3 linked regions of the Tamandua tetradactyla genome follow. The protein of the gene in region 1 interacts with the protein of each later gene in a biochemical or structural test. Links are inferred from orthologs where the notes say so. Each region holds a gene or a part of one and is shown on either strand. Other genes may lie near its edges.

Region 1 (10,405 bases):
CAAAGCAAGGCAATCTGGCTCCAGGGTCCCAATTCATAACTTCTATGCTATATTGGTTCAATTAACTTCTCTAGAATGACAAAGCTATTAAATAAGAAGCACCAAATTTGGGCCCTAGGTCTTTCTGACTCCAGAGTCTGCCCTCTTTCACCACTACCCAATACTTCCCCGCTGTGGTTAATTGTCTGGCAGTGCACTGTAGACCACATAAGGAGGCCCCTGGAGTCATACAATGTATTATCTGCATGGCTATCCATGGCAGCCCCCACTGATATGACTAAAACCCAAATTCTAGTCATAAATGTGACTTCCAGAGAGGAGCATTCAGGCTGGATCAGAAACAAGACTCATGGGCCCCAATACTGACACTGAGGTACAGTGTACCTCAAACACTGAGGTACAAACTCTTGTCTTTTGTGTCGGTTTGCATATTGCAAAAGCCAAGATGGAATCAATGTAAGAGATTTATTGGGGGAAATACCTATGAAGTATAAAGAGGAGAGGGAGCAAGAGTAGGTAGGGAGAGCCGCAGACCACGATGAAGTTCCCTGTCGAGGGAGGGAGGTAGGGAAGGAAGAAGGACTGGTTAGGAAGAGGCTCACATTGCAGCAAAATTGAGGAAATCTGGGCCAGGCCAATGGGGAGCCCAAGGCAATGACTGCCCAGTAGAAGAGTCTTGCAATGGTAGAAATGGCCTGGAGCCAATACACTTTGCTCAGTTATTGGCTGACAGTATCCCTGGAAGAGTGTGGCCTTGGCATAAATGCTGTGGCAGACCCTAGAAGAGTAGCCACTAGTGGCTGTCAGCCAACCACACTCCTCACAGCTAGACCTCTAGAAAGGAGAGCTGGGCAGCACCGCCTCATGGCTGCCCCGCCTATGGACCACCAATTAACCCCCACCCTAAGGAAACACCAGGTACAGGAGATAAGCGCTCAGTGTTCATTGTCTACAACTACGTCTCACAAACAACACAGCTGAGTATGTTTTCTTTCAAAACATGTGTTGGCTCGACCTTATTCCAAGTATCAACGCATCTAGGGAAAAATGTTTTCCTGGAGAGTGGTGGGAGTGGGGTGTTTTCTCACTTATTTTTCTACCATGGACATATTTAAATTGCCACAAAGAAGTAACTATGGAAACTGCTCCCCAAACTTGCAAGATAAAAGGTAAAAATGGAACACTTTGTTGATATGCAAATGGTTCATCTTTGGAGACCACTTTGTTTAACAAACTTGCCGTGCCTGGTTCTCCTGGGTGTATTCAGGGTTCTCTTGAACTAATGGTGGACAGGCAGGATGTTTTTGTGTGGTTTACATTCTAGATGGCTCAGGTTGACTGTGAAAACACCACAGACAACAACTCTGGAAAAAATCTATACGCACATGAAGTTGGTGTTGGAACAAGGAAAGTAGATAATTATATTGTACTCTGGGTAACTGGCCAGGGTGACTGTAAATTGCTGTGAACATGCAAAAAGGCCCAGGATGGGGGCGGTGTTTTTGTGCCAGCCCCAGGATGGAGGAGGTGTTTGTTTTTGCGCAAGGCCCATTCTGAGGGTGTACCCTGGACTTGCTGGTTTGAAAGTTAACTTACTGAGCTCTCATTTATGCAAAGTAGTTTCTCTTTCTTATCTCTTCTGGCGACATTCCAGACTTTGATGGAGCTAGTCAGTCTTTTCAACATGAAATCCAAACTTATTTGAAAGCCCCATTCCTCACCTATCTCTGTTAGTCTTTACCTGACCTGCCCCACCCACCTCTCCAACTTGCTTTATACCTACCAGAGCACTCCTATATTGACAAAGCTCTGAGGTAGCTTTGTCCTGATTTCTACTCTGTTCTTTTCTGTCTGGTAATGCCTACAATTTGTTCTCTGGGGATTTAATCTCCTTTCAAAGTTGCCTCCATAATTAAATGGATGCAACCTGAAGAGGTAACTTTGCCTGGGAGACCCAGGAGTCAGAGGTTCTGGGTTCTTGATTTGGTTTTATTACTTTCCAGCTTCATGACTAGGAGCGAGCAATTTCACTTCTTTGTGAATCAGATCCTTCTTTTTCCTTGGCCAAGGACTTTTTTCTTGCAGAGCTTTTTATGGTCAGCTTGTTTTTTAATTTAAAAAATTATCATTCAAGTTGTAGTTTAAATATCATGTTCTCTAAAAAGCCCCAAATATTCCCTAACATTCTACTTTAACATCATTTTTATCATATTATCTTAATTCTATTTTCTTCAGGCCCTTACTATCTGCATTTATGCAGATAGTCTTAAATGTTTACTTGATTATCTGTTTTCTCCAACTACCTTTAAGCTCCAAGAGAGCATGGACCTTGTTTGTTTTGTTCCCAGCTGCACCCTCCACTCCAGGCATATAGGTGGTCAATAAATACTTAAGAATGAAAATGACTCTAAAAGTTTAGGCAGTTAGATCAAGTGGATTAAAGTCACTTGCAGCTTTAACATGAACAATGACAAAGATGAATAAGTGAGAAATGAAATTGATGACAACCACTGAAACAGAATACTGGAAGGAGTATGTGTATACTTAAGCTTTATGAATAGAAAACTGCCAAGTTCTTGGTGGTGCCAAATGTATCTATAGTGTTGTCTTTCTATAGATAGTTCTTACGGAGTGTGAACTGAGTTTCTGAGCTTTATAATAAAGTATTTAACAAACATATAAGGTAGCTTACTGTATCAGTCAGTATTCTACCAAAGAAACAGAACCAATAGGATATTAATACACATACACAAAACACACATATTTCAAAGATTGGATTATACAGTTGTGAAGACGGACAAGCCCAAAGTTTGCAGGGTTGTCTGACATGCTAGAAACTCAGCTCAGGAAGAAATTGAACTGCAGTCCTCAGGTATAAACTTCAGTTTTGCTCTTAAAGCCTTTAACTGATTGGATGAGGCCCACACAAATTATGGAGGATATTCTCCTTTACTTAAAGTCAACTGATTGTAGTTGTTAACCACATCCACGAAATATCTTCACAGCAACATTACTAAACCTACATTAGTGTTTGATTGAATAACTAAACACTATAGATAGCCTAGCCAAGTTGACACTTAAAACTAACCATCACACTATGTAAATATAAAACCCACTGTATCACAGAATTAAAGTGGAGGAGATTTTAGAATATAATCTCTTCAATTTACAAGGGAGAAAACTGAAGCCCAGAGATTTAAGTATATTTGGACATTTGGATGTGTCTGTTAATGATGTGTCTGTTAATGAAGAATAATATACCAATCATACTTCTTTACGATCATTATTAACAATATAATAATACTGTAGATTTGAAAAGCATGTTTGAGTGTGGTTAGAGCTTACACTTGTGTGCACCTCAGAACCATCTGCAAGGCTCATTGCAGCAAAGACTGCTAGGCATCACCCCTAGAATTTTTTATTCTGGAAAGGGACCCCATAATTTGCATTTCTAACAAGTTTCCAGGGGGGTGTTGATGCTGCTGGTCTGGGTCCACACTTTGAGAATGGCTGTCCTACACTATCCAATCCATTATCTCATTTGACCCACACTACAATGCACACCTGTACGGTGCCATGGCAAGGATTATTATTCTCATTTCACAAATAAGGACATTTAGTGATTAGGAGACTAAATAACTTGCCCAACATCCCATGATTCATAAGAGATAGAACTAGGACTGGCATCCAAATTTCCTGCCATCTCAGTGTGCTCTACCCACTCACCTGCTTGGGGAGGTTGTTTCCCATTCTTGGAAGCTAGGTACCTCCTCTGCTCTCACCTGACTAGAGCATTCCTCAACCTGTGGCTCTTCCTTTTCCTTGGTCAAAAGCCTTTAGGGGAGTTGAGAAATCTGCTGTTGCTTGCCTTTCATCGGGGCTGTTGGCCCTCAGCCTGCTCCTCTGTCTCCTGTGACCAGGCAAATTTGTTACCAGGAAATGTGATGTGGAATCTCAGTTGTTTTGTGAACCATTTTGTTTATACTGGTATATCATCCATATACAGTTTTGCAGAGTACTGCTCTCTATGATTTTCACAAGGAGCAGATCATTGCCTTTAAGGGATGCCTTCCAACGTTGGATGGCATTCTGTAAAAGGTGCCACTTATAACACACAATATCTATGAAAAGCTCATCTCTGACACCAGCTCATAGCATGTTGGCTGCCATGAAGAGGAGTTGAAAGCTGAGGCTTCTTGCATTCTGCCACTTGTGTTTGATTCCCACCTCCATCTTTTAACAAACTATATGCCTTTGTGCAAACTTTTTTTTTTTTTTTTTTTTTTAACATGGGCAGGCACCGGGAATCGAACCTAGTTCCTCTGGTATGGCAGGCGAGAACTCTGCCTGCTGAGCCACGGTGGCCCACCCCTTTGTGCAAGCTTTTAAAGTTTCCCCTTCTTTTTATTTTCGAAGAGTGAGATTAAACAAAATAATCTAGGTAGTGGTCCGTGTGTGGCATGAAGTAAATCATGCAGATTAAATGAAATCATCTGCGGTAAAGGGTTTAGAAAAGTGCCAGTCTTCACAAATGAGGACATTGTATAAAGTCCTCTATGTTAGCTATTTCCAGTACTGTTATGGGTGCTCCAAGTTTTTAAGAAAGGAGTTATTTTCTTGTTTTATTTTTCCTTATGACACGTAACACTTTCTAAATATAGCTGCAGCTCACGTTTTCGCCTTTGTTTAGTGCTGTATTCTTGTCTAGAACCTAAGCTCCAGGAAGGCAAGGATTTTCCTCTGCTTTGTTGGCTGCTGCGTCCGTAGTTACGTGCAACAGTGCAAGCTCAGAAAACTCTTTCAGTAAATATTTATTGAATGTATAAATTGAAGATGAATTGTAGGCAAAGCGTGCCTTTTTCTTCATCCCGAGGATTCTAACTGCCTGGTGGAAAGAAACCATCCCATGCTTAGAACACCAGCTCTCCTCCAATTTCAACTAGCTAGAGCCGCGATTTAGCCCTCCGCTCGACGCGCGGAGAGAACTACAAGTCCCGGCGTACCCTGCGCCCAGAGAGAGGCGAGTCGGACACTTCCGCTCCACGCAGCGCCTTTGCCGCCGCGTCCCGACGTGTCACCGGCGGCGCTGCGGCCGTGGCTAGGGAAGGGACCGACTGGGGGAGTTCGAAGCGGCGGGCGGCTGTGACCCCAGCCTGGAATTGTCCCGGCACGGAAGTGCTCCGGGGTCCTTGGGCAGCAGGAGAGCGAAGCGGCTGCCTGGCTCGCGTGGGGCAGGATGTTGAACATGTGGAAGGTGCGGGAGCTGGTGGACAAAGCGTGAGTATCGGGGGGCAGTTGTGGCCGAGGCCCACCCCAGGAGGGGAAGTAGAGGGAGGGGAGCCGGCCCTGGCGCGCGGGGCCACCCGCGTCACGCCCCCCGGCTCAGCCAGCCCCATCATGGCGGCTGCCGGGTCTCTCCCGAGCCTAGTCCCCACTGGCGAGACTGGGTAGAGACCCTCCCTCGTTTCAAAACATCGCCTTAGTCCACTTCTTTCCTGGCTCTTTTTTCCTTCCCCTACCGCCACCCACCTCCGGGTCGCAGACGCTTTGGCCAGGGAAGAGGGTGGGGTTGCCGATAGCTGGGTCACTGTCCTGCCTTCGGGCTCTTTTGCCCCTAGGCTGTGGGCTTTGACTTCAGGGCTCCTGGAAGGCTTGGAAGTGGAGTAGGTGCGCACTGGTTCTCTGTGTTTCTCAGGGTGCGGTACGGAGACTTTTGGCCTGGTTGGGATATGTCCTTTACTCTCCTGGGTTTCTTTTAATTTCTTATGAACCTGGAAATGTTGGAGTGGGTGATAGGTGTAACAAGTGGCCATTGTCGTCAGGCCGAAGTTACTCAAGGGGAGTCTCATCCTTTGCTTTTCTAACAGTAGTGAGAGTAGATCAACATGTAACTTGTGATTCTTTTCCTCTATTTCCTTTTCCACTATGCTTTTTGTGGGCCACTTATTCCATTTGTTTCAATTAAGAAGTCGTTAAGAATTTCCCCTGAAGAAGAAAGCAACGTTTATATCTGTTGCTGTGCTTTTAACTTCACTCACAGGTAAAATGACTAATATGTAAGTGATTTCCTTAAAGACTCAAAGGATAACTCAGTATCTCAGTGCACAGGGAAACCTTAACACTTAAGTTATCATATGCAACAGTGGTTAAGTAAGACCTTCTAGGTTAGCAGGAAATACAGTTTAAGAATTAAACCAATCCTCTTTCTTTCGGGTGTTAGTGATTATGCAATAAGAGTGGTGAGAAAACAGTTCATTTGTGCCAGCCCTCCATCTTAAAATCAGGAAGTATAGATGGCAAACTATTGGCTTTTCTTGACGTCAGAAAACAAAATGATTCACGGTGTCTTGGATAATGCATAGAACTGTTGGACTGTATTTCTAGATTTTGTATGATACCAAGAAGGCAGTATAGTGCCTAAGAAGCACAGGTTTCAGAAACCTGCTGAGCTGGGGTTCAAGCTCTGTAACCTTAACCTTGTCCTCCAGTTGCTGCAAAATGAAAATAATGATAAATGTGTACCTTAGAATGTTGTGAGAAATAAGGTCTCAGACTTAGATTGCATGGAAAGCCCTTAGCACAATATATGTAAATCAGTATACTTCTGATAACTATGACAGAAGCTCTGGCATTGAGAGTTAGATAAACTTCCTTGAGAGAGGCTCTGTGTTTGAATGTTTGGGAAGCAATTTACTTTAATCATTTTTCTTTTCAACTATTCACTTGACCACTAGGACGTCATTTCTTTTGGGCTTATTTTGCTATTTATTTACCCTTTTTCTTCCCAAAAATCAACCATTATTTCAGTGTTTCCTTTCCAGGTCCGAGTACTTTAAAAATATATTGTACGGAAATGAGAACACCCTCTTAAATAGTTTTGTTTTGTTTTTTGAATTTTTAATTTAGTAAAATATGTATGACAAAATCATTTTAACCTTTTTTTTTTTGTATCCTGTATGGCGGGCTCATATTCCTTTTCCATGTGAGTATCCCATTATTGCAGCACCATTTGTTGAAAATTTTTTGTTTGTTTGCTTGTTTTTTGGGAAGTGCATGGATCAGGAATTGAACCCAGGTCTCCTGCATGGCAGGCAAGGATTCCACCACTGAACCCTCACCCCCCCCCCGCCATTTTAACCATTTTTAAGTGGCCAATTCTGTAACACTTAAGTACATTGACAATTTTGTGTAACCTTTACCACTGTTTCTAGAACATTTTCATCGTCCCAGACAGAAACTTGTAACCATTAAGCAATAACTCCCTATTCCCCCTCCCCCCTCCCCGGGTCACCACTATTCTGCTTTCTGTCTCTGAATTTGCTTTTTCTAAAAGTTCAAAAGAAGCCTCTTCATTTCTAAGCCAGTGTACAGCAGAAGAAAACCACTAAGAAATACCTTGTTTCTTAGAGGCCTCCATTTATGGTATGCAAAAATTTGAAGAGACTGTACACTTTACGGGGTCAGAAATATTTCTGCTGTTCATTCTGTATTTGTTTCTATCACCTTATGTTATTAATTTTCAAGTGCTTCATGTTCAGTTTGCCATGTAAGTAGTTATCAAGTAGTTTAGTCAAAAAATAACTTCAGTCTTCCTTTTTGTTAATCAATTTAAAATAAAGACTTGAACGAAATTATTCAAGAATGTGTAAGAATGTTGCCACAAGCAATTTTGAAAACTTTTATGGATGTCTGACACATGATATTGAGATTAAGAACATGAGGTTATTTTACTGATGAATACTTGGAATTTAGTTTTCATCTTTCAGTGGCAGGGAGAAAAGAAATTATTCCTAAAAATATAAGCAGAACCATATATTTTTTTCAGTTAAACTGTACACCTTAAAATGCCATTACAGAGGTGGAACAGATCCATACATAGAATGGGTGCTCTGATTATCAAGGGATAAGAAGAGGAAGAAATTTACAGATCAGGAAAGACTATTCAGAAGGCTTAAATTAATGAAGTAAGGACTTATATGACAGAAAGGACAATAGGAAGTTTGAGAATTAGGTTCAGATTCTACCACTGCCTCTGATTGGCACTATGTATGATATGAGGCAGCAGCTCATGTCTCCAGACCATGATTTCTTTTTTGTAAAATGAAAGGATTGGGCTAGAATAAGACTTTCCAAATTCTAGGACTATTTGGAGAAGTGAATTTCTACCAAGGAAGAGAAATTGGAACTAGTATTTCACAGTTGCGATAAATTTTAGAAAATTATTACCTTCCAGAGACAATTTAGGCTGAAAAGGGACATAAAAAAATAAATAAATTTATTAATGTCGTAATCAACACATTATATTTAATACTTTATGTAATAAGTGCACCCATAACCCAGGAGAACCAGAATTTTTATTATATATCCCTCCCCAGTGAAGTTTACCTCAGAAAGAAAAATGTATTCTTCCAAAATATGTTTCTTGGAGCTCCTGCTAGATACAGTATGGTGGGATTTCTTCAGTATGGTGATATATTTCAAACATGGGCTTTTGAGACCTTTTCCGGAATGTGTGTGTAGAGGGTATTTGTCACAGTTATTGTGCCTCCTGGTGGTATTAAATGGATCTGTTTTGCAGAATCTGGAACTGAAGAAAAGCAGTTGAAGCCTTAGGCCATCCTGAGCTTGGAGTGCCAGTTTCCTTCCCACTCTTAGACAAGTTGCATAAAAAGCATCTGTGGTGAGAAAGGATAAGTGACAGCACTCCCAGCAACTAGGACTGGCTTGACCCCTGTCATTTTATAACCTGACTCCATTTGGGGCTGTGATAAAATGGGATAATTTTTATTTTATCATTTGAAAAGCCGTATAAATTTAAAGTTTCTGGAGTTCTACTAAATCTTACCTTTAAATGTGGGAAATGTAGTGAACGTGACGTGATAATGGTAGACCAAAACTGCTACTAACTGTTCAAGTTCAGTTAACCCTCCTCTTTCATTGCAGAGAGTAAGATTAATGGTTAAACTGTTACATCAGTGGCTCTTATTTTTAAGTGATAGTAATTCAGACAGCTCTGGCCAAGGTCCTAAGGCAGCTGCTATAAATGGTCCACGTTAAGTTTTTCTCTTAAGCATAACTTGCATTTTTCCCCATAAGTTGATTTTTGTAGGTGTTTATTTGCTTGTTTTTTTTAGTTCCTAAATGTTTAGATAATATAATAGAACTCTAGAGTGTTCTTCTCTAGCTGACCCCAGAGGAGAACCATTTGCTTTTATAGACAATAGTTCACTCAACTCTTTCAACAGATAGTACGTTATTTATCAGATTACTACTGTATTGAAAAGCAGCTTTCAAGAAACTTGCCACTGCAAGTATATAATAAAGCCACAGCTTGAATTTATCATTGGTTTTGCCTTCCTTTTAGCCCTCTTGTTTTCCCCCCTTCTTTTCCCTATCTTACTAGGAAATCTCTGTTCAATTTGCTTCTTAGAACTTGAAAGCAAAGATGATTAAATCAGCTTTCCAGTCTTCCTATATCAGCTTTTCTTTGAGCCAATTATAGGTATTGTTATTGCTGAAACAATGAATTGAATATCCTTCCTCTCTTCTAGTAACTGGACACAAGTGTATATTAAGTATTTAATTCCAAAGGAAGATGAGTTTAATTTCTCTTCCATCAGCATTTCTTAGGGGTAATTTTCTATACTTTAAGTTAGTCTGTGTATCACTGCTGCAGGGGGCTTCTAAAAAGCACTTAGCTGCCTCTTACGTTTTCCTGTTCCCTTTAGTATTAGTTTATAAACAACTTTTTTCTTCTGTTTACTATGTCCACTAAAAGTACTTAGCATTTTTATTTAAAGTGCCACTTACTAATGCTTCTAGTTTTAAATAGTATGGCACCTCAATTGAATCATCTAACACTTTTTCTATATTTTAGTAGTATTTTCCTATTTCCATTGTTTATTTAATATTTCCTTTAAGAAAAAAGAAAATATAGATAGCGAGTAGCTTAACTTTTTTTATCGTATAGTATAACATATATACAAAGCAAAGAGATAAAAAAGCAACAGTTTTCAAAGCACTCTTCAAAAACTGGTTACCAGATAGATCCCAGGGTTTTTCATGGGCTACCATAATAAGATCCTTTCATATTTTTGTTTCTAGCTGCTCCAGAATATAAGAGGCTAGAGGGTTTAAATACTTTTTTATCATCACAGTCAACTTTTTTTCCTTCTTTTTTTGTGAACAGTAACATATATAAAAAAAACTATAAATTTCAAAGCACAGCATCACAATTATTTGTATAACATATTTCAGACTTTGACATGGGTTACAGTTTCACAATTTTAGGTTTTTACATCTAGCTGCTCTAGAATGCTGAGACTAAAAGAGATACCAGTTTAATGATTAAGCATTCATATTCATTTGTTAAGTCCTCTCTTCTCTGTGTAATCCACCATCACCT
Region 2 (11,338 bases), on another chromosome or scaffold:
AAGGAATGGATTCTTCCCTAGAGCTTTCAGAGGGATTACAGCCCTGCCAACTCCTTGATTTCAACCCAGAGAAACTGCTGTTGAGCTTCTGACCTCCAGAGCTGTGGGGGAATAGATTTCTGTTGTTTTAGACCACCAACTTGGTGGTGAATAAGTACAGGACAGCCTGACTTAAAATGTGTATAAAATGAAGTTGGTTGCAATTTGTTACAGCAGCCACAGGAAACTAACATAATAAAATAAGTTAATGCTGCTCACAGTGAATAAGTACAGGACAGCCTGACTTAAAATGTGTATAAAATGAAGTTGGTGGCAATTTGTTACAGCAGCCACAGGAAACTAACGTACATCTCTCCCTCTAAACCAAGCCAACAAACAATGCTGTGTCTCTACTTTGATTTGTTTATGATGAAATGACATTCTTAAATAGTGTCTTAGTTTCCTGACTGGTATGACAAATACCACACGTGGGTTGGCTTAAACAATAGGCATTTATTATCTCATGGCTTGGGAGGCTAGAAGGCTATCTGGCATGCTGGCAATTCTTGGGGTTCCTTGGCTTACCCATTACATGATGAGCCCTCTCTTTTCTCTTCCAAGTTCCACTGACTTCCAGTTTCTGGTCTTCCAGGTGGTTTTCACTTCATAAATCCTCCAGTAATAGGACTAGGGCCCAACCTCATTCAGTTGGGCCACAACTTCACTAAAAACAACATCTTCCAAAGGTCTTATTTACAATGTGTTCATACCAATGGGACTAAATTTAGATTAAGATATGTTCCCCCCCACCCTGGGATACATATTTAACCTACTACAAATACGTTTCTGGACATTCCAAGTTTTTTGTTCACTTCGACTTCTCTTCCTGCAAAAGTTCTGCTTTGCTGGCATTACTCTTTGTACATGTTTAACACTCAAAAGAGTTTTCAGGATAGGAGGCAGAATGGATACGCTGATATATCACAGAAACATAATAAACTCCAAAGGTCTGCTGTCAGCTCCAATATTAATCCCTCTTCATTCGCTCCACTCCTGACTTCAGTCTCACTTTTAGTTCTACCATCTACCTTAATTTTCAGCCCCACTTTCACACTGTAATCCCTCTGATATTTTATTTACTTTCAGAAGGATAAAAATGACCATCATTACTTTCCAGAAATCTACAATGTCCATATGGGTTTCTAAGGCCAGATAAGTCCTGAAATCCAGAGGTACCTGCCTCTCTAGAATATCAACTAGTTCCCCCTCCCAATCCCATATTATTGACAGCCCTTTTCTTTTGCTCTTCCTTCTTTTTAATCATCAAAATATGATCTTGTATAATATTGATTTTAAAACGCATTAGACTCTCACATATATATTTTTCATCACATAATTGTATATTCATCACCATAATCATTTTCAGAACATTTACATCACTCCAGAAAAAGAAATAAAAAGAAAAAAGAAAAAACTCATACATACCATACTCCTTTCCCCTCCCTTTCATTGAGCACTAGTATTTCCCTCTACTCAATTTACTTTAACATTTGTTCCTCCTGTTATTTACTTTTAATCCATATATTTTTTACCAGTTTGTACATACTGTAGATAAAAGGAGCATCAGAACAAGGTTTTCACAAACATACAGTCACTTTGCAAAAGCTATATCATTATACAATCATCTTAAAGAAACATGGCTACTGGAACACAGCTCTACAGTTTCAGGCACTTCCCTCCGGTCTCCCTATTACACCTTAAACTAAAAAGGGGTTATCTATATAATGCGTAAGAATAGCCTCCAGGATAATCTCTCGACTCTATTTAAAATCTCTCAGCCACTGACACTTTATTTTGTCTCATTTCTCTCTTCCCCCTTTCAGTTGAGAAGTTTTTCTCGATCCCTTGATGCTGAGTCCCAGCTCATTCTAGGATTTTTTGACAGCCCTTTTCAACACACAAAAGTTAGAAAAAGTATAGCCCAAATATCCCTTAAGATTGGGAATAAGATCAAAGAAGAAGATGGAGTTATAACAGAGAAGATAGGATTTAACAATTGAGTAAGATTACCAAATCATTATATTGGTATTTCTTTTAGTGTTCAGTGTCTTGGAGCAGCTAGAAGGAAAAAACCTTAAATTGTGGAACTGTAACCCATACCAAACTTTGAAATCTGTTCTATATCTAATTGTCATGGTGTGCTATTATTCACAATAAAAACATGACCATCACTTACTGGGCATCTGCTAACTAGGTGCAAGGGACCATGCTGGCAACTAATAGAGACTGAGTTTACATAGCATTCTGGTGTCAGCATGGCTAAATGATTATGCCCATTTGTCTACCCAGGCAAGCACTGGCCTGACCGTTGTTTCAAGGATATTTCATGGATGGTTGATAAACTGGAAGACTGGTGTATCAAGTCATCAGTGAGTTGACTGCATTTGTGGCTGATTACATCTGCAATCACCTAAGGTGTGTCTCCCACAAGAAGATAATTCAATCAGCTGAATGCTTTTCAGTAAGAAGAGAGACTTTTTCACGGCTTCTTCAGCCAGCGAGCCTCTCCTGTGGTTTCGTCCAGACCCTTCGTCAGAGCCGCCAGCCTTACAGCCTGCCTTATGGATTTTGGACTCTTCCATTTTCATGGTTGCATGAGAGAGACATCTTTATAAATCTCATATTTACGGATCTCTCCTGTTGGTTCTGTTTCTCTTGAGAACCCTCACTAATACACATGGCTAGTAAATGTAGGATCTGGGATTGAAAGCTAGGCCTGTGTAACTCAAATGCTCCTACTCCTTCTTCTTCAAGTTTGGGATTCTGAATTGCTTGAGAGCTTTCAAAATTAGAAATGTACGCACCAAACAAAAGTGAGGGGTAAGGGGTATGGTATGTATAATCTTTTTTTTTCTGTTATCGTTTTATTTCTTTTTCTGTTGTCTTTTTATTTCTTTTTCTGAATTGATGCAAATGTTCTAAGAAATGATGAATATGCAACTATGTGATGATATTGAGAATTACTGAATATATATGTAGAATGGAATTATATGTTAATGTTTTTGTTTGTTCTTAAATTTTTTAAATAAATAAATTTAAAAAAAAAGAAAAGAAATGTAAGCACCTCTCCTTTTTCTCCCCAGTCAACAGGAAAAACAGTCATTTGGACAGGAGTGCTAGAAACTGGGTGGTTGTTGCCTCCTTATTCTTCATCAGTGTGCTGTGGGGATCAATTCAGTGGAAGGCAAGATGTGGAACTTGAGAAAAGGGATCTTCATTCTTCATATGCTTTAGTTAAGTCACCTGGACGTAAGTCATTACGCTCTAGGCCAGGAAGGACCTCATGTCTTGGCTCTAATACTTCTAAAGCAAATGTTCTTGATGCAAAACAATTTGAAATTGGTATCATGGACACTGTTTATTTCTGAGGCCTTGCAAAAGTTATCTTGGGAAAAAAACAAGTTATCTTGGCGTGCCGTTGGTGATTGGTTGAGAACCAGAATCACCAGTTAATTTAAAATGTATTCATTCATTAAGCATTTCAGTTTTTTAATAGAGGCAGTTACAGCACAATCCTCATGTGCACCAGATATGAACTGCCAAACACCAGCCAAAGGGGAAAAATTGGTATCTTGACTCTCAGGTGACTCCATTTCATCCTTGATTTTCATAAAGATGATTTGAACAGTACAGATAGCAGTGACCAAGAGCAACAACCCTGCCTCACCATGCCAGTTTTTGACTTTGGTAAGTTACTTAACCTTCATTCCTTCTTCCATTCAATCAGCTACTTTTTGAGTACTTATGGTGTTCAAATCCTAGCACATTTTCTAGCTGAGACTTCGGTTAAACTAATTTAAGCCTCAGATTCCTTCAGTGTAAATGGAAAAAACAGTTATGCCTCCTGCAAAGACTTCTTGTGATAATGAAGGAAGATTATGCACACAAAGAGCTTAGCATGGCGCCTGGCATAGAATGTCAGCCTGTCTTTCATTACTCAGTGATTACATATTTACTATGTTCCAGACATAGTGCTTATGCTCTGGGGCTGCAAATCAAAATAACTGACTGCCTTCTTTGGGCCAAAGATGAACTTTCATTATCTTATATCCTCACAACAACTTACAAAGCATGCATTATTTTCATCATTCTATGAATGAAGAAATTGAGTTTAGGGAGGTAAAGCTCAAAATTACACACTGAGTAGTAGCAGAGATCGGATTTGAACCATGATCTACCTGATTACAAAGCTCGTTCTGCCACACAGCCTTACTGCTAGCCAGAATAACATGTACTGTTCATAACTTAGAGAGGGAAAACATGCAGCAAACGACACATCACGGTACAACATATACAAAGCAACATCACTGAACCCTCTGTATACTAAGCCTTATTCTCAATCAAGTCTTATAACAGCTCTATGAGGTAGATGTTAATACTATCCCCTTTATAAGGAACGGAAAACTAAGGAACAGAGAGAGAAGTCCTTGCCTATAGTCCATGCGAATAATTACCACTAAACTCTATTACCACTCTGAAGAGCTAGCAATTTATAAACAGTGGCTCTGGGTGTTCTGAGGAGTGACAATAACGTGCTTGTGAAATCAGAAAAGATTTCATAAATGAGATGTTATGTAAGCTGGAACCTGAAGTAAGAATGTTTGAGGTTGAGGAAGGAAGACAGGGGAAAAGGATGAAGCAGGTAGAGAAAACAGCATGTGCAAAGGCACATTTTCTTTAATGTCTAAACTCGCCTATCTTTTAAGTACAAAGGAGGTCCTTAGAGGATCTGGTACAGAAGACACTTCATTTTGTCTCCTTTCTTTTTATTTCCTCATGTCCTATCCACCCCTATCCTCAGGTTCCCTTTCCTATCTTCCATCTCTCCATTTCCAATACTACAGTCCTAATTTAGAACTATCACCTATCACCTAGACCACTGCAATAGCTTCACCTCCTTTCACTCTCTTTCTCCCTCCAATTCATTAAAAAACAGTTACAGGTTGAGTTTTCTAAAGTACAGCTCTAATCACCTAACTCCTTGGACTCAGAAATCTTTAATTCACCCACTTTCTTCAGAGTGGTCTGAACTACATAGCCAGCCAGCTACCTTTCTTAACAAAGCCTTGGCCTGTCTTTCCAATCTCCTGCCATTTCCTTCCTTTAACATTGCCATGGTCCTCAAACTTTGGTGTGAATCAGAATCACCAGTGGGTTGCTTATTAAAAATATTCATGCCCAGGCCCCGTTAAAATATTTGGTTTAGTAAATTCGAGTTGGTCATTAGGCATTTTTGGTTTTGTTTGCTCGCTTGGGAGAGCTATGAGACATCTGTAGTGTTAACAGGCTCTTTCTGGTGTTCCTACCTCAACAAATTTTAAGAAGCATTGCACCAACTGTATCAACTTTATCTAAAAACTGATAAGCCTCCCGCATTCTTTCTTATCTAATTTGGGAGTCTATTTCTTCACTCAGAAGCTCATTTTCAACCTCAGCCCTACCTTCCATACCTAGATCAAATGCCACTTGTCCTAGGAAGTCCTCCCTCCTCTCCTTCGCCCGTTGATATTCATCTGCACCTTTCTTAAGGTATCAATCTCAACCTTTCGCTTATTTAGGAAGGGCCCACACTCCGGACCATCCAAGGAGTTCCCCAGAGCAGAAAGGGCCATCTTAATCCGTGCCCCCACCCCAATTCCTAGTTCTCAGCGGGATCCTGCTCAAGAGCAATCTATACCGTGGGATGACTGTGCATCAATAGTTCTTCCCGCAAACGCTTGGAACATCCTAATACAACGAACCCGCCTCAGATGCCCTTCCCAAGATACCGGCAAAACCTCTCAGACTAACAGCTCAAGATCGGAGGGACTGGAATTGTTGGGGGAGTTGGTGGGTGGGAAAATTGCTCGGGGCAAAAAAAGCCACCCATCTGGCAGTCAAGACAGATCCCCCGACGCCAGGAAATGACGCAAAAAGCGCCCACTCCACCCCGGGCTTTTGCCTCGGCCTCGGATTAGCTGCTCCTCCCGGCCCCGCTTCAAGGACCTAAGTCACGTGACCCGCTGTTCGCCGCGCGATTGGTTGTCCGATGAGGGCCGCTCTGGATTGTGGGTTCGGGCCGGCTAGTAACGTCCAGCTGAGTGGAAGCGTGGGAGGCGTGCGTCCGCGGGTACGAAATGCTGGTGAGTTCGGCTACTGTTAGCCTCCGGAGGTCCTGGCAGGCCGCCTGAGAGAATCTGGGGCTTAGAAATTGAGATAGCGCGCGGCAGACTCCCGCGTGGGTCTTTGGTTCGAGTCCTGGCTCCAGCCTTATCGCGTTTCCCCTAAAGGATGGCTTCTTAGTCTTTACTTGAAGTTGGCGGGATTTGGACATGATTTATATTATTATTTATTTCTTTGAGGGCGCTGGGCAGAACGCCATAAGCTGGATGCTGGGGAAAGGGCCTGGAGAAGCTTGAAATATGGTCCCTACTAACGTGAAATGTTTGAGGTAACTCGGCCTTATAAATTGTGCTGATGCTTTTATAATCCGTGAGTTTAGGGTTTAGTAGGGAGGATCGCTCAAGGTTTATTGAGTTTTCTCCTATGTGCCAGGCACCGTCCTGGGCACAGTGGTTGTAAGGACCAGTTAAACACGGTCCTGTTTTTTTTAGGGAACTTTGATGGGGCTGGGGGGAAAGGCGGGAAGACACGTGGATAGTTGGTTTATGCTGGGAAAAAAAGTGCTGTGGTAGTCAGAAAAGGGTAACTGAGGGAATTAGGGATTATTTCATAGCAAGGTGATATTTGAATAAATTTTTAAAACTATAATATGTTTCCAGATTAAAATGAGTGGGGAGGGCATTCCAGTTGGGAAGAAAGTGTGCAAAGGCAAAAAACTAGGAAAGTATACCCGATTTGTGTGGTTGGAGCATGTGGTGGATTTGCCCAGAAGCTGAAAGGTAGGGGTATATTTTTAAGGACCTTAATTCCCTGTTAGTATGTCTGGATCTTAAAATACTCTACGAAGTGAAATAGGTATCACGACATAGGTACAGCAAAGTGCTTTCATAATTCAAAGGAAGGACAGATGTTTCCTGCTGGACTGATGGTGAAAGGCTTCATGCATTTTAGAGTTATAAAGGGTGAATTAGTATCCGAGTACAGGAAAGGTTTCTATGGAGGGGAAGGGCTTTCTAGAAGAAGAGAGCAAGTTTGAGGATTTAAGAATAGTCAATGTGGTTTGGTCGGCACATGTTCGAGTTATGGTATTTAGTTAACTATAAATTTGTGTCAATTTTGAAACATCTTGAACACTGGGCAGAGTATTTTGGATTATATATTTCTTGCATCATGGGGAGCCATTAAATGCTACCGAGTAATGACATAATCACACCTAGGTATTTTTTTTAAAACTTTTTATTGAGAAATCTTCACATACGTACAGTCCATCCACAATATACAGTCATTGGCTTATAGTATCATCATGCAGTTGTGTATTCATCACCATGATCATTTTTAGAACATTTACATCACTCCAGAAAAAGAAATAAAAACAAAAAACACAAACATCGCATATCCCTGACCTCTCCCTCTCATTGACCACTAGTATTTCAGTCTACCCAATTTTTTTTGCCCTTTTTCCTCCCTATTTATCCATTTGGTTTTCCTTATTTTTTTTTTTTCACATGTGCAGGCACTGGGAATCAAACCCGGGTCCTCCTGCATGGCAAGCAAGCATTCTTGCCTGCTAAGCCACTGTGGCCCCCCCAGTTTTCCTTATTTTTTTATTTTATTTTTATTTTTTTATCAAATGGCAATTATTTATTTATCAATTCCAACAAGTCCATCCTGAGTTTCTATTATCTATTTTTTTATTAATTAAAAAATTAACTAACACAACATTTAGAAATCATTCCATTCTACATATACAATCAGTAATTCCCAATATCATCACATAGATGCATATTCATCATTTCTTAGTACATTTGCATCGATTTAGAAAAAGAAATAAAAAGACAACAGAAAAAGAAATAAAATGATAATAGAGAGAAAGAAATAAAAATAAATAAACAAACAAACAAAAATCTATACCTCAGATGCAGCTTCATTCAGTGTTTTAACATAATTACATTACAATTAGGTAGTATTGTGCTGTCCATTTCTGGGTTTTTGTATCCAGTCCTGTTGCACAGTCTGTATCCCTTCAGCTCTAATTACCCATTATCTTACCCTATTTCTATCTCCTGATGGTCTGTTACCAATGACATATTCCAAGTTTATTCTCTAATGTCGGTTCACATCAGTGGGACCATACAGTATTTGTCCTTTAGTTTTTGGCTAGACTCACTCAGCATAATGTTCTCTAGGTCCATCCATGTTATTACATGCTTCATAAGTTTATTCTGTCTTAAAGCTGCATAATATTCCATCATATGTATATACCACAGTTTGTTTAGCCACTCGTCTGTTGATGGACATTTTGGCTGTTTCCGTCTCTTTGCAATTGTAAATAATGCTGCTATAAACATTGGTGTGCAAATGTCCGTTTGTGTCTTTGCCCTTAAGTCCTTTGAGTAGATACCTAGCAATGGTATTGCTGGGTCGTATAGCAATTCTATATTCAGTTTTTTGAGGAACCGCCAAACTGCCTTCCACAGTGGTTGCACCATTTGACATTCCCACCAACAGTGGATAAGTGTGCCTCTTTCTCCACATCCTCTCCAGCACTTGTCATTTTCTGTTTTGTTGATAATGGCCATTCTGGGTTTTCCTTATTTTTTAATTCATCTGCCCATATCCTGGATAAAAGGAATATCAGACACAAGGTTTTCACAAACACATGATCACACTGTAAAAGCTATATAGTTATACAGTCTTCAAGAATCGGGGTACTGGTACAGAGTTCAACAGTTTCAGGCACTTCCCTCTAGCCACTCCAATACACCATAAACTAAAAAGGGATATCTATATAATGCATAAGAATAACCTCCATGATAACCTCTCAACGTTATTTGAAATCTCTCAGCCATTGAAACTTTAGTTTCTCTCATTTCTGTCTTCCCCCGTTTGGTCAAGAAGGCTTTCTCATTCCCGTGTTGAGTCCTGGCTCATCCCTGGGTTGAGCCAGGGATGTGTCCCACATTGCAAGGGAGATTTACACTCTTGGGAATCATGTCCCTCACTCCGGGAAGTGAGTTCACCTGCAGATTTGTCTTAGATAGAGAGGCCACATCTGAGCAACAAATGAGGTTCTCTGGGGGTGACTCTTAGGTATAATTATAAGTAGGCTTAGCTTCCTTTGCAGGAATAAGTTTCATAGGGTCACACCTTGGTGTTTTAAGCTAAGTATGTATGTAGTAATATTCGTGGTACATTTGATGGGATAAAGAAACTGGAAGCAGGAAACCCACTGAGACAGCAGTATGTTCTGGTAAAAAGAACATGAACTTTAAAGTCATACATTCATTGATTCAGATCTTAGCTCTGCTCATCCATTTCATGATCTTAGGCAATATTATTTTAATTAAGCTCTCTGAGCCTCTGTTTCCTCATTTCTAACTCGTATCTATTTCACGAGATAAAAGTCAAGCATAGCACCTGTATAATAGGTACTTTGTAAGTTAGTTTTCTTCCCCTCCTGGAGCTTGGTTATTGAGTGGAATAGCTCTCTCTTTAGCTATGGAGTGTAAGTGAAGGAAGTCTATGGTGTTTCTTATTGTTTGACACTGACAAGACCATGCTGAAAAGGTCTGAAGAAGGGCAATTTGTGATTCTGGTACTTTTCCATGTCAGTGATAATATACCACCAGGAGGTGCCATTTAGAATGCAGAAATGCCTTGTTTTATTGTGTTTTGCATTATTGCGCTTCTGAGATACCGTGTTTTGTACAAATGTAAGTTTGTGGCAGCCAATCTATTGGTGCCATTTTTCCAACAGCATTTGCTCTCTTCATGTCTCTGGTCATGTTATGGTAATTCTCACAATATTTTAAACTTTTTTATTATTATTTTTATCTTTTATGGTGATGTGTGATCTTTGCTGTTACTATTATAATTGTTTTGGGGTGCCTCGAACTATGCCCATATAAGATGTTGAACTTAATTGATAATTGTATGTGTTCTGACTGCTTCACTGACTGGCTGTTGTCCTGTGTCTCCCTCTCTTCAGGCCTCTCTATTCCCTGAGACCTAAGAATACTGAAATTAGGCCAATTTTACCATGGCCTTTAAGTGTCCAATTAAAAGGAAGAGTCGCACATCACTCACTTTAAATCAAAACCTAGAAGTGATTAAGCTTAGTGAGGAAGGCATGTCGAAAGCTGAGATAGGTTGAAAGCTAGGCCTCTTGTGCCAAACAGTTAGCCAAATTGTAAATGCAAAGGAAAAGTTCTTGAAGAAAATTAAAAATGCTACTCCAGTGAACAAGTGAATGATAGGAAAGTGAAACAGCCTTATTGCTGATATGGAGAAAGTTTTAGTGGTCTGGATAAAAGATCAAAGCAGCTACAACATTCCCTTAAGCCAAAGACTTATCCCGAGCGAGGCCCTAACTCTCTTCAATTCTGTGAAGGCTGAGAGAGGTGAGGAAGCGTCAGAAGAAGAAGTTGAAGCTAGCAGAGTTTAGTTCATGAGATTTAAGGAAAGAAGCTGTCTGTGTAACATGAAAGTGCAAGGTGAAGCTGTAAGTCCTGATGGAGAAGCTACAGCAAGTTAATCCAGAAGATCTAGCTAAGGTACGGCATACTTTATTGTTGTCTTGTTTTAAGAAATTGCCATAGCCACATCAACCTTCAGCAACCATAACCCTGATCATTCAGGAGCCATCAACATTGAGACAGGCCCCTCCACCAGCAAAAAGATTATGACTCCACGAAAACTCAGATGATGATTAGCATTTTTTATCAATAAAGTATTTTTAAATTAAGGTATGTATATTGTTTTTTTTTTTACATATAATACTGTTGCACACTTAATAGATTACAGTGTAGTGTAAGCTTAACTTTAAACGCAGTGGGAAAACAAAAAAATTGTGACTCACTTTATTGTAATACTCGCTTTATTGCTGTGTCTAAAACTGGATCTGCAATATCTCTCAGGTATGCCTGTACATGAAGTGCAGCCAGTTTTCCCATTCAGAAGTTGATTATCCAGGTTGTGATTTACCTGTGCTTTGCATTGCTTCTTTTGTCTTACCTGGGTCCTCTCAAGGGTAAGAGCAAGAGAAAAATGAAATTAAACTTTATATTTAACTAGCAGTGGAAAAACATAAAACTAGTAATCAAACTTCCATTCTCTTCCTAGCTCTGCCATTTATTTGCTGTGGACCTTAAAATCACAGCCTCTCTGGGTCATGGACTATTTAGAATATTCTGGTATA
Region 3 (10,622 bases), on another chromosome or scaffold:
CATAAAAGGAGCTCCTTTTATTTTGAGTTGTACAACTGCCAAATCATTTAGAAAGTTTAGTTCTTTTACCAAATACTCTATGACTGGTCTTAATTTTAATTCAAAGGCTTGTGAGAATGGGGGTGAAAAAAGTTAATCACGTACCAAAGTCTAAATTCAATGTCTTTCTCATATTTACTATTCTGAAAAATCCATAAAATTAACCTCAAAGCCTAAGAAGTTGAAAAGCCTGAGTTGCTCAGTACAATACAAATACAACCAGATATAACAAGCTGAAGTTAGTAAAGAAACTGCCTATCAGGTTACAATAAGACTGCTGTAACAATGAAGAAGGAGGAGTAAAAAACTACTTGCCTTTAAAATGCCTTTCTTCAAAGTACAAAGGTCACATATTTTTCCCAACTTTAAAAAAACAAAGACTTTTCTCCTTCTAAGTTTATTTCATTTTCATTCATATCATAAATGAAATAAACTTAGAAGAAAATATACTAGTTTGAGATGGCTGGTTGGGAAAACTAACAAAATATTTAGGCATACTGTGTAGAGTTCATTGAATCTATGTAGATATTAGTTTTTTGGTGTAACAACATATATAGCTTATTAATTTTACCTCTCTAAAGTTCTGAGTATGCTAAAAAAAAAAAAAAAGCAAAACTTCCAAGTACTTGGTGAAAAAAAAGCATTTATTTCAATCATATTATCCTACATCTTGACCTTTTATGCTAAGCTCTGAACTACACCCAACTCAACAAGCTTGGCAATTTTTTTTTTCTACTTCTTGACCCTTCAAATTTGACAGGAGATTGTTCTTCCAATAACCAAACTCATGCCAATTAAGTATTTCGTGTAACTCCTTCAGGGAAGAAAAACACCTTACATGTAATTTCAAAGTAGAAATTACACCTCTTTTCCCCTTTTTCTTTCCTGCCTTCACTGAAATAAAATTTCCTACGCCCCCCCAAAAAAGGCAGCTGGAAAAATCTTAATACAAGCATTTTGACAAAGATATGATTCTTAAAACCTGTAAGCCAAGAAATATAAGAGGTTATACAAATCTATATGCTCTCAGTTTTAAAATTGCTTTCTCCTTTAAATACCAGTCTTCATTAAAGAAACCGAGTAAAAGCAACTAAGAAATGAAAAAAAAAAATCATGAACTCAATTCATAAAGCAAAGAAAGGTTAAATTATAAACAACTAAAACAGCCAAACAAGCTGTTGCAGTTTGATGAAAGATAATCATTTTAGATTTTTGGAAGCTAAATGCAACTAAGTCTTAGAGCTTTGATATCAATTAAATTCTGCTGTACACAGAAATTTTTAAATCCTCATAAAATGTAAATAAGGGGATTAAGCATTGCAAAAATCTGTTTTGGTATGTGGTTTCCCAATTCAACTTTTTAAATTAAAAATAAGCTTAGTTGTTTTGGAAAACACTGGTTCGACTTTTTAATTCTGTGCAAGTTAAAGAGTTTATAAAACACAAGAAACTTTTTTTGGCACACCAATGAGTTAAGACTTCTTTTTAAAGTAAAGTAAATACTGGGATGAAATAACACCAAACCATCAAGGATGGATCAGAGGCAGAATTCTCACCTGCCATGCCAGAGACCCAGGTTTGATTCCCAGACCCTGCTCATGTGAAAAAAAAAAAAAAAGAAAGAAAATCACCAAACCATTGCTGGCAAATTTCTGTACTTGACCGCTTTACTCAAAGTTCACTCCCAAACCTAGAACTACTTGTCAGTGAAATACCAAAGAACAGGCAACCACTTTCAAAAGAAAAATGAACTGAGGTCTCCTAAACACTAATGTTAGTTTCAAATACAATCCCAGCAACCTGACAAAAGTAGACATTCAAGCATATTCTGATCAGTGAGGCACTAAACAGCACTTTGCTTATAATTTGGAAAGCAAAAGGACACTTTTTCGAACTGAATGCAAACCTAAAAATGAATGACATTTAAATATCAGATTATACCATGAAATGAAATGAATGAAATAACATCTATCTGATAGCTCTTCCAATACTTTGTTTTAAAAGTGTAACTCAGAAATAGAACATTTCAGTGGTATCTACAAGGAGATACTTTGTGAATGAATGAGCATTTCCTAAGTGTTAAGTGCTGTCAGCTCCTTTAAAACAGAAAAAAAAAAAAAGGCATAGCTTCCAAGTAAATACAGACTCACAAAACTCACTAATATCTAATGTAACTATTATAATTTTTTAAATTCTCCTTAAAACAAGTTGACAAGGATGGGTCACGGTGGCTCAGCAGGCAGAGTTCTCGCCTGCCATGCCAGAGACCCGGGTTTGATTCTTGGTGCCTGCCCATGTTAAAAAAAAAAAAGTTGACAAAAACATTGAGCATTTACCCTAAAAACAATGCCTTGTACTGTACCGAAGCATCAGATGACTTGTACAGGAATTTATTTTCAGTCTCATTTCAATCACTTGGTAAGAAAAATGCATTTATATATGGATGAGAAGTATTAAAAATTTTTGACTCAGTTCAAGTAAGAAATTTAGATTTCAGTAGTCACTAGACTGCTGTGCTCTCGAATAAATTATTTCTCTTTTGCAAATCTAAAAACCCAGGCTCAGATGTGAATTGCCCGTGATGCACTCACACTCACCTAATCGGTGAATTACTGTGAAATGTTTTTTATCCAAACATGCTATATACAAGCATACTTTAGGAGTGGTATAAAAGGAATGAGATTATGATACCTAGAGGTCCATATTTTTTCAAACCAAAAGTCAAGATGCATATAGTCTGACAAGTATTATGGAGAAGTGAATATTTTAAATCCAACTACCCCCAGAAAACCCAATACACGAAGTCGACACAGTATTTTTAAACTGACTAAATTCTCTTATGTAAAGGGGAGGGGAAGAAATCACTGAACCACTTCAGGCAGCCAGCAAAGGTCATTACCATACAAAACACCTGAAAGTTTACAACACTAAAAAAATCTTTGCTCTCTTCTGTTAAATATCCCTTTATCATACAAAAATGAAATGAAATAAAATAACTCTGCTTTCTACCTAAATCAGATTAATATTCTTCATAAGATTTCCATGCCATGGACATATAACACCAAGAAAAATATACAAGTGTCATTAAAAACCCAAAACCTAAGTGCTAAGCACTGCAAGGTAATTCACAAAATGAGACAACATTTGACAGCCTTCTCGCACCCACCCCCAAAAAAGCATTTAATCTGCTTTATAAACATTTACTATTGAAATACATACTGGGCGGGTGGTTTGACGGATCTCCTACACACCAAACCCTAATAGGGAAATGTAATCAACCCTCCTAACTCTTTCAGGCAGTCAAGGCGGTGAGATCGGGAAAATTATCAGAAACTGACGTCAGTAGGATAAAGTGTTTGAGAGAAGGGTAACCGGTATATTCGCAGGTGAGTTAAGAAAACAACAACCAAAAAAAAAAAAAAAAACAAAAACGGGCAATTGGGAAAGAAGTTGGCTGGAAGGTTAGAGGGAGGAGAGGTAGATGTCCGGTTCTGTGAGAACGGCATTGCAGAGGCAGACAGCGTTTGACTGAGCATTTGGAAATGCTAACGAGTTTCTGTGAGAGACAAGATCGGGGTACAAGATACAAGTACGTCGATACGTGGCTCAGAGAAGACACGCGGAGGTGGGCCCGCCCCGCTAACCCTAGGCTCCCTGAATGAGCCCTCAAAGGAAGATCGCAGCCTGAGAAAGTCAATGGGTTCAAGGAGGCCCGCACCCGCCCAGCAACGCCACAGCACGGAAAGCCGCCGCGCGCTGAGCCTCCAGGTCCAAGACCTCAGGGGCGGCCCTCAAGAAGTCGGAGCAACCCCTGGGGCGCCGGGCCCCTCCTGGTTCAGCTTCTGTCCTGTCTTCTCACCCCTACTGCCTGAGACCGGACCTCTAGTGTTGACAGGATGTCTCCGGCCGAGCACTTGCGGCAGCCGCTGGGCAAAAGCAGCAGTATACTCTCGGCGCCGCAAGTGACACTCACCGGCCCGAAACCTCGAATGAAACCAGCAGCTTCGGGGGCGGCGGCAGCAGTAGCAGCAGGAACCGAACATCCAAAATGGCGGCTCCCTCGGCCTCACCACCGCTACTGCAGGCGGAGGGATCCTAACGAGGGAGGGAGTTTTTAACTAACTTTACGCACTGTGGCAGAAACTCCGCGTCCCCGTCCTCTCTCTTTGTCGATTCTGCGTCCCCACTGCAACTTCTCGCGCTTCCCCTCTCCTATTATTCAAGAGCCCGGACCCCGCCGAGGACTATTTGCCACGGAGGAGGCGACTGCCCCTGGCCAAGCGACGCAAAGCGTAGCAAGGTTCAGGGCTGTCACTGATGACGCGAGACGTTGCTGCCGAGTCACCTCTGCGGTGAGTCTGAGTGAGAAAGATCCGACAAACCCCGGCGCCGATGGACTTTGGTTCCGCAAGGCGGGTGAGAGACCTGGGCTATCAGGAAGAGGCGGGGGTCACCTGAAGGGGCGGGACTAGCAAGGTAGAGGAGGAAGTGGGAGAGGCCAGGCAGCTGGGGGCAGAGTACGCTGATCCGCTTAAACCGCAGAATCCTCTTTCCGAGTACCTGTGAGACCTTAGCCTTCTCTTAGTTCAACTTCAGAAACATGCTCCAACTGATCCTGAATTCTGCGGTTTATAGTATCTTTGTAACATATTGCATGAAAGGGAGGATGACTCAGAAGAATGGGTTCCAAGCAGTACCTCCTGCGCTGGACAATTTATTTAAACTCGGAACCTCCGATTCCTCACATATAAAAAAAGAGAGGGCTTGAACTACCGTAAACTTCCAGTGTGGACTTTCTGTTTGTGACTTCATAAACGATTGAGTTGAGCCAAAGAAAGTTTGACCAGCCAGTTCCTAGCCTGATAAATAATTACTAACCCTTTACAAGATTATTTTCCATGTGAACGTTAAGAGCACGATGATATCTTGGTCCATTTAAAGGAAAGATTAACTACCCAGACTAAAACCTTCAGGAAAATTAGTGATAAAATACCGCTAAAAGGAAATAAAGCACAGCACCAAACTAGATGCCTAAATGAACAGATTTAAACACAAATCTTAAGTTTAAAACCTGAATGATACAGCTAAGACCTTTCTCTTTTTTTGCCTTAGGCAGTTATTTCCATGTAAGAATTTCAAAACTAAAAAAAAAAAAAATGAGCTGGGTAGTCCCACTGTGCAGCTCTGTCCTCAAGCTACTGGAGCATGCTAAGTGACCGGACAGAAAGGAAGCTAAGAGCATAATACTAGTAATTTTTATTATTATTAAGTATGGCTATCACCCTTTACAAAGCACCTCTGTATATATCATCTAATCCTCCCAACAACCTCCTGAGTTAGACTGGGCAAACTTGAATAACTCAGTTTTACAAATAAAGAGACTGAGGTTCAGGGAAACTTGGAATTGCGGAAGGAACTTCCGGCCTCAACCTTCTCCTTTCTGCCCTCTGCCACTGGAGTTCTGCTATCCTCTGGTGCCATTGTGCAAATTAGGAACTGGTAATACCCCAACATCCCCAAACACACACACATGCAAACACACACACACTGGGTGAACTGAGACCATAGCAAATGGTTTGGGGATTGGAATGCTTATGGAATTTAGCCCCATCCTATCCTCTCCCTTGCACTACTCTACACAGCAGCCTTGGATTGCATAAACTAGTACATAGTAGTGTGAAACTACAACACTGTAATGATGACGTATCTCTTGATTCTTCTGAGGGATAACTGTGGCCCAAACAGGTACCAAGGTACACTTTGGAGTTTCCATAAAAGTAACAATTTTGCAGGTTGCAAAGCAGAGGTAGCTAAAGAGTTAGCTTTCAGTTTGTGGAAAGTCACAAATGTTTACTTAGAGTTGGGAATTTAAATGTTTACTAATATTTTGTAGTAAGTGTTTGCTAACCACAAAAGAAAAGTTAAGAACACCTTCTTAAAGGAGAAAAGTATCTTTTTCTGCTTATTGGCAGAATACTAAAGAGAAAATTATAAAATGTAAAACCTACATGTAGTTTTTACTTATATTTATTTTTATTTATAATTACCAAACACCTCTCCCATGCAACTAAAAATTTAAAACAATTGACCCGGTATAAAGTGTGGTAATCGTTAGCCTGTGATTTTTAGTTTCCCTGGGCAATGATTAAAGCCTGGAAATGCTTACTCCTCAGCTTCTCCAACATAATCCCTAATCCAAAATAAATAAATTACAGTACACTAAAATCCATACAATGGAATACTATGTACAATAAAATCCATCAATAGACTACTAGGTTGCCAATGAAAATAAAGCTATAGTATCTTTATTATCATGATATGCCAGATTTTTAAAAACAATATTTCAAAACAGTATGATAGGGGTTGCACTACTGTGTGAACTGGAGATGGGGGTGGCCCGGGCATGAAGTGGAAAGAATTGAAAAGAATTCAGCTCAACAAACAGATTTGATCTCAAATGCAACATGGTGGGAGTTCAAAGATCCTAGAGGGGCTAACAGAGTAGACCAGATGATGAACCTGGAGAAGATGGGACACAAAGGATTCCTGCTGGAATTTTGGCTCTTTCCTCCTCTCCAGATGGTACCTTCAGGTGCATCCTTATTGGAAGCAGCTGTGACCAGCAAGGGCTTAGTGGTATGGGATACATTGTTAGTAGGTCAATCAATAAATCTGGAAAATGGCCAGTTCCACCATGATGACTGAGTTTCTTTCTCCTCATGGGTTTTGCTGTAGGGTGGAAGCTAAGGTTTCAACATTCCATTGTTATTCCTACTAATATGTACTTGGCTTCCTTGGTAAGGAGTCTTCTCATCATTAGTGCCACCACACTCGACCAGAATCTTCAAACACCCATGTACTTTTTCCTCAGGAGTCTGTCCATCTTAGATATGTGCTTCATTTCTGTAATTGTCCCCAGTGCCTGTGTCAACTCTCTCACTGACAACAGGGTCATTTTAGTGGCTGGGGGTACAACTCAGATCTTCCTAGTCCTTTACTGTGCCTGCGTGGAAATATTATTATTCACCATCATGGCCCAGGATTACCCTGTGACTGCTTTTCTCTGTGGTCTGGTCTATGCAGATGTGCACAGTGGTAACACTTTCCAGTTGTCCTTCTGTCAGTCCATTGTTATGCACCAATTTCTCTGTGACATCCCTTCTCTACTGAGGCTTTCTTGCCCTGACACCTTCAACAATGAATTCTTAATTGTGTCTGCCATGAGGTTTGGTGTTGGCTGCTTTATCTTCATTGTCATATCTTATACTCACCTATTTTCTACTGTGCTCAAGTTTCCAACCAATGGAGAGTGAGGAAAGACCTTTTCCACCTGTGTCCCTCACATCATTGTTGTATTTGTCTTCTTTAGCTCAACCTTATATGTGTATTTAATGCCATCTTCAGTGTCAGACATGTTTCTGGATATGATTTTCTCTGTTTTCGATTCCATAATTCCTCCATTTTTAAATCCCATTTTCAACAGTCTTAGAAACAAACAGACCAAGGGAGCACTGAAAAAAAATAATGCAAACTTTTCTGCAGGAAAAATATTAGATGAATTTCAAGTTTTTCTAAATGCTTTCATATCAAGTTGATATATACACACACACACATTTTGATATTCATTTAGCTACAAATGCTATTACTGGATTGATAAAAATTACTGCTGTACTTTTACGTGCTTATTTGCCTTTTGATCACATTAGTTGATTTAGAATGATATGTAGGAAAGGGATAGAAGTGTATATATAATATAAAACCAGGAATTCTTAGGATTTTCATTGAGACTGCCTCTTCAAAACTTCCCTCATTGTGAGTCTAGGGACTCACACATATCTATAGTGATTATTTCTGCCTAAACATTGCTCTTTCGCTTAAAATCTTCAAAATCAGTGAGGACATATCAAATTCGTACTTTATAATGAGTTGATAAAGTCAAGGGTATTGTATCACATGTTAAATACTAATAAATGGATACTAAATTTGTCACTATAGATTATTATATATAATCAACATTTATCAATATTAAAAATTATATTCAAGAAAATATTGATAAATAATAAAGAGATCATTTGCTAGTTATGTTATTGATCCCAATGCAGATAAAATTTAAATAATTATTTAATCAATAAATTCATTTTAACTTCTTACAAATTGAGATCCTTATATGTGGAGTAAAACTATAGAATGAAATAAGTGATAATACAATCTTTCTACAATTTGAGAAATTAAAAGTTGGTTTCTAAGTTAAAAATTGCATAAATTGTGTTTTCGATTTCTTTCATAAACTGCAGAAAACATCACTTGATTCCAGAATCAGGAAGCATGTGCCCTCTTGAGATTTACCCATATTATTGCATAGATCAATAGCTGAACATATTTTCATTATATGGATGTACTAAGGTTTGTTTGTACCTTCATCTGCTGATAAACACAGAGCTCTTTCTGGTTTTGGCTTAATATTTAAATTGTTATAAATATTCAAATGCAGGCTTTGTCTGAACATATGCTTTTATTTTTCTTGATAAAATACCTAAGTGTGGGACTGCTGGAGCACAACGTGAACGTATATTGAACTTTATAGGACGTTGTCAAATTGTTTTCCAAACTGACAGTACAATTGTGTATCTTCAGGAATAAATCGGGCCTCCAATTGTCTGTCACTGGTCAATGCTTTCTATCATTGATTTTTTAAAAATATATCCCTTCTAGTAGGGTATGTAATGATTTGTATTATTGGTTTTAATATACATTTCCCTAGTGGTTATTGATGTTGAACACTGTTTTGTGAACTTGTTTTTCATCAGTATCTCTTTCTTTGTTAAGTTTCCTTGTTAAATCTTTGCATATCACAAGGTCATAAGATTTCTGTTTTCTTCTACAGGATCTATACTTTTAAATTTAACATTTAGGCCTATAGTCCCTTTTTAGTTAGGTTTGTGTGTAGTGCAATGTAGTGATTGCATTAGTTTTAATAAGTGTATCCAACTGTTCTGGCACCATTTATTGAAAATAATATTCACTTCAAAAAAAAAAGTATGATAAAATGAGCTTGAAAATATTGCATCTATGAACAGAAAAATTTGAAGGGCAAAATAAAATGTAGAGATGGTTATCTATGGGTGGTGAAATTATAAATGTTTTCACTTTTTTTCCTGCAATAAGCATACTATGCTTTTACAGTGGGGAAAAAAACAAAATTTTACATTTTGAGAAGTCCTTATAAGATAATGCAGTGTTATGGATCCAAATGCCAAAGGGGATTTTTGTTTTTAAAACAACAATAGGCCGTGAAGATGAAAAAGCCCTCCCACAGCCTTGGGCAACTCCACCCTGGTCTTCCACGGAGCTGTTGGTAGCAAACCTCAGGCAGCATCTCCTTTGAGCTGTTTGCAAACAAAGTTCCAAAGACAGCAGGGAATTTTTGTGCTTTGAGCACTGGGGAGAAAAGTTTTGGTTAGAAGGATTACTGCTTTCAGAGAATTATTTTTGGATCTATGTGTCAGGGATGGTGAATTCACAAACCATAATGGCACTGGTGGCAAGTCCATCTACAGGGAGAAATTTGATAATGAGAACTTCATCCTGAAGCATACAGGTCCTGGTATCATGTCCATGGCCAAGGCTGGACCCAACACAAATGTGTGAAAGTATTTTGAAAAGTAAAAAGTATGAAGAGAACACAAGTATTCTCTTTCCTGGATTTAGGGATGCAATGGGGTTCTTAATTACATCATTTCTAGCTGCTGAAGCCCTATGGCCTTTATAGCAGAAAGTGAAAGCTCTCTGCCAAAATGCAGTCAGTTCTTTTCGCGAGCAAGTCTTCTGCTCTCCATCTGACACAGAACTCAGCTGAGAAAGGTGACTGAGGAGGGAGCATAAGCATACTGGAAACCCAGTGATGTGAGTCAAAGAGGTGCCTCCAGTGGCCTATTATCATTTGAGTCACCCAAATCTATAAATAAGTCTGCAAGTCAGAGAGAAAATAGTCCCTCTGATGTCCGTTATGTTATGCTTTCACAAAAAGCATTTTTACAATTCTTTCAAACATCGTCTCTAATCACAGTTTATTCTGGTTTGAGAAAAGGGATTAAGAATTAATTGTTCAGTCACGACAAAAGCCAGAAGTGATGTGAAAATTAAAATTCAAAAAGCCAACTCTAGATGCTTGATGAAAGAAAAACTTTTCATGCAATTTAGGATCTCCCAGCTTTGTTGAGACATTCATGAATGGGCAGCTTCCTATACTGAAAGTAGAAGGGAGCTCCAATGAGGAGATGCAAAGAGGAAGCTCATATAGGGGGAATACAGTAGCAAGTGAGGAAATGTTCTGACTGGCTGACATTAAGTTTCCATTTTACATAAGGCGGGAGTGTCTTACAAAGTGAGGAGCAGATATACATTGATTAGTATGGTATGCTTTTCAATTCTCATAGCTCTCTCTACCAAACAAAAACTAGTTTTACCACCAAGTGTTTCTTATTAGTTGACCCTTTAGGGTGTATTCCATTTCCTCAGAAAACCCCTGCATGTGAATTGTTTCTGTCCTCTGGAAAAGTCCTTCTCAGAAAGGGATCTTCTCC

Evidence for each region.
Region 2: the proteins of CLINT1 (region 1) and AP2B1 form a complex in vitro, tested with the Homo sapiens proteins (2 studies listed by BioGRID and IntAct, with this or other methods). The link is inferred for Tamandua tetradactyla from reciprocal best matches to the Homo sapiens genes CLINT1 and AP2B1.
Region 3: the proteins of CLINT1 (region 1) and AP1G1 form a complex in vitro, tested with the Homo sapiens proteins (2 studies listed by BioGRID). The link is inferred for Tamandua tetradactyla from reciprocal best matches to the Homo sapiens genes CLINT1 and AP1G1.

Annotation. Positions count from the first base shown.
Region 1 is NC_135346.1:38,934,881-38,945,285, reverse strand, and holds the start of CLINT1 (clathrin interactor 1), read left to right. Parts: upstream 1-5,039; 5' UTR 5,040-5,236; coding exon 5,237-5,277; intron 5,278-5,354; exon of another isoform or gene 5,355-5,663; intron 5,664-5,966; exon of another isoform or gene 5,967-6,040; intron 6,041-10,405. UniProt on the Homo sapiens protein: Binds to membranes enriched in phosphatidylinositol 4,5-bisphosphate (PtdIns(4,5)P2). May have a role in transport via clathrin-coated vesicles from the trans-Golgi network to endosomes. Stimulates clathrin assembly.
Region 2 is NC_135332.1:46,153,558-46,164,895, reverse strand, and holds the start of AP2B1 (AP-2 complex subunit beta), read left to right. Parts: upstream 1-6,065; 5' UTR 6,066-6,161; intron 6,162-11,338. UniProt on the Homo sapiens protein: Component of the adaptor protein complex 2 (AP-2). Adaptor protein complexes function in protein transport via transport vesicles in different membrane traffic pathways.
Region 3 is NC_135342.1:66,899,695-66,910,316, reverse strand, and holds the start of AP1G1 (AP-1 complex subunit gamma-1), read right to left. Parts: upstream 4,409-10,622; 5' UTR 4,172-4,408; intron 4,166-4,171; exon of another isoform or gene 4,013-4,165; intron 3,999-4,012; exon of another isoform or gene 3,899-3,998; intron 1-3,898. UniProt on the Homo sapiens protein: Subunit of clathrin-associated adaptor protein complex 1 that plays a role in protein sorting in the late-Golgi/trans-Golgi network (TGN) and/or endosomes.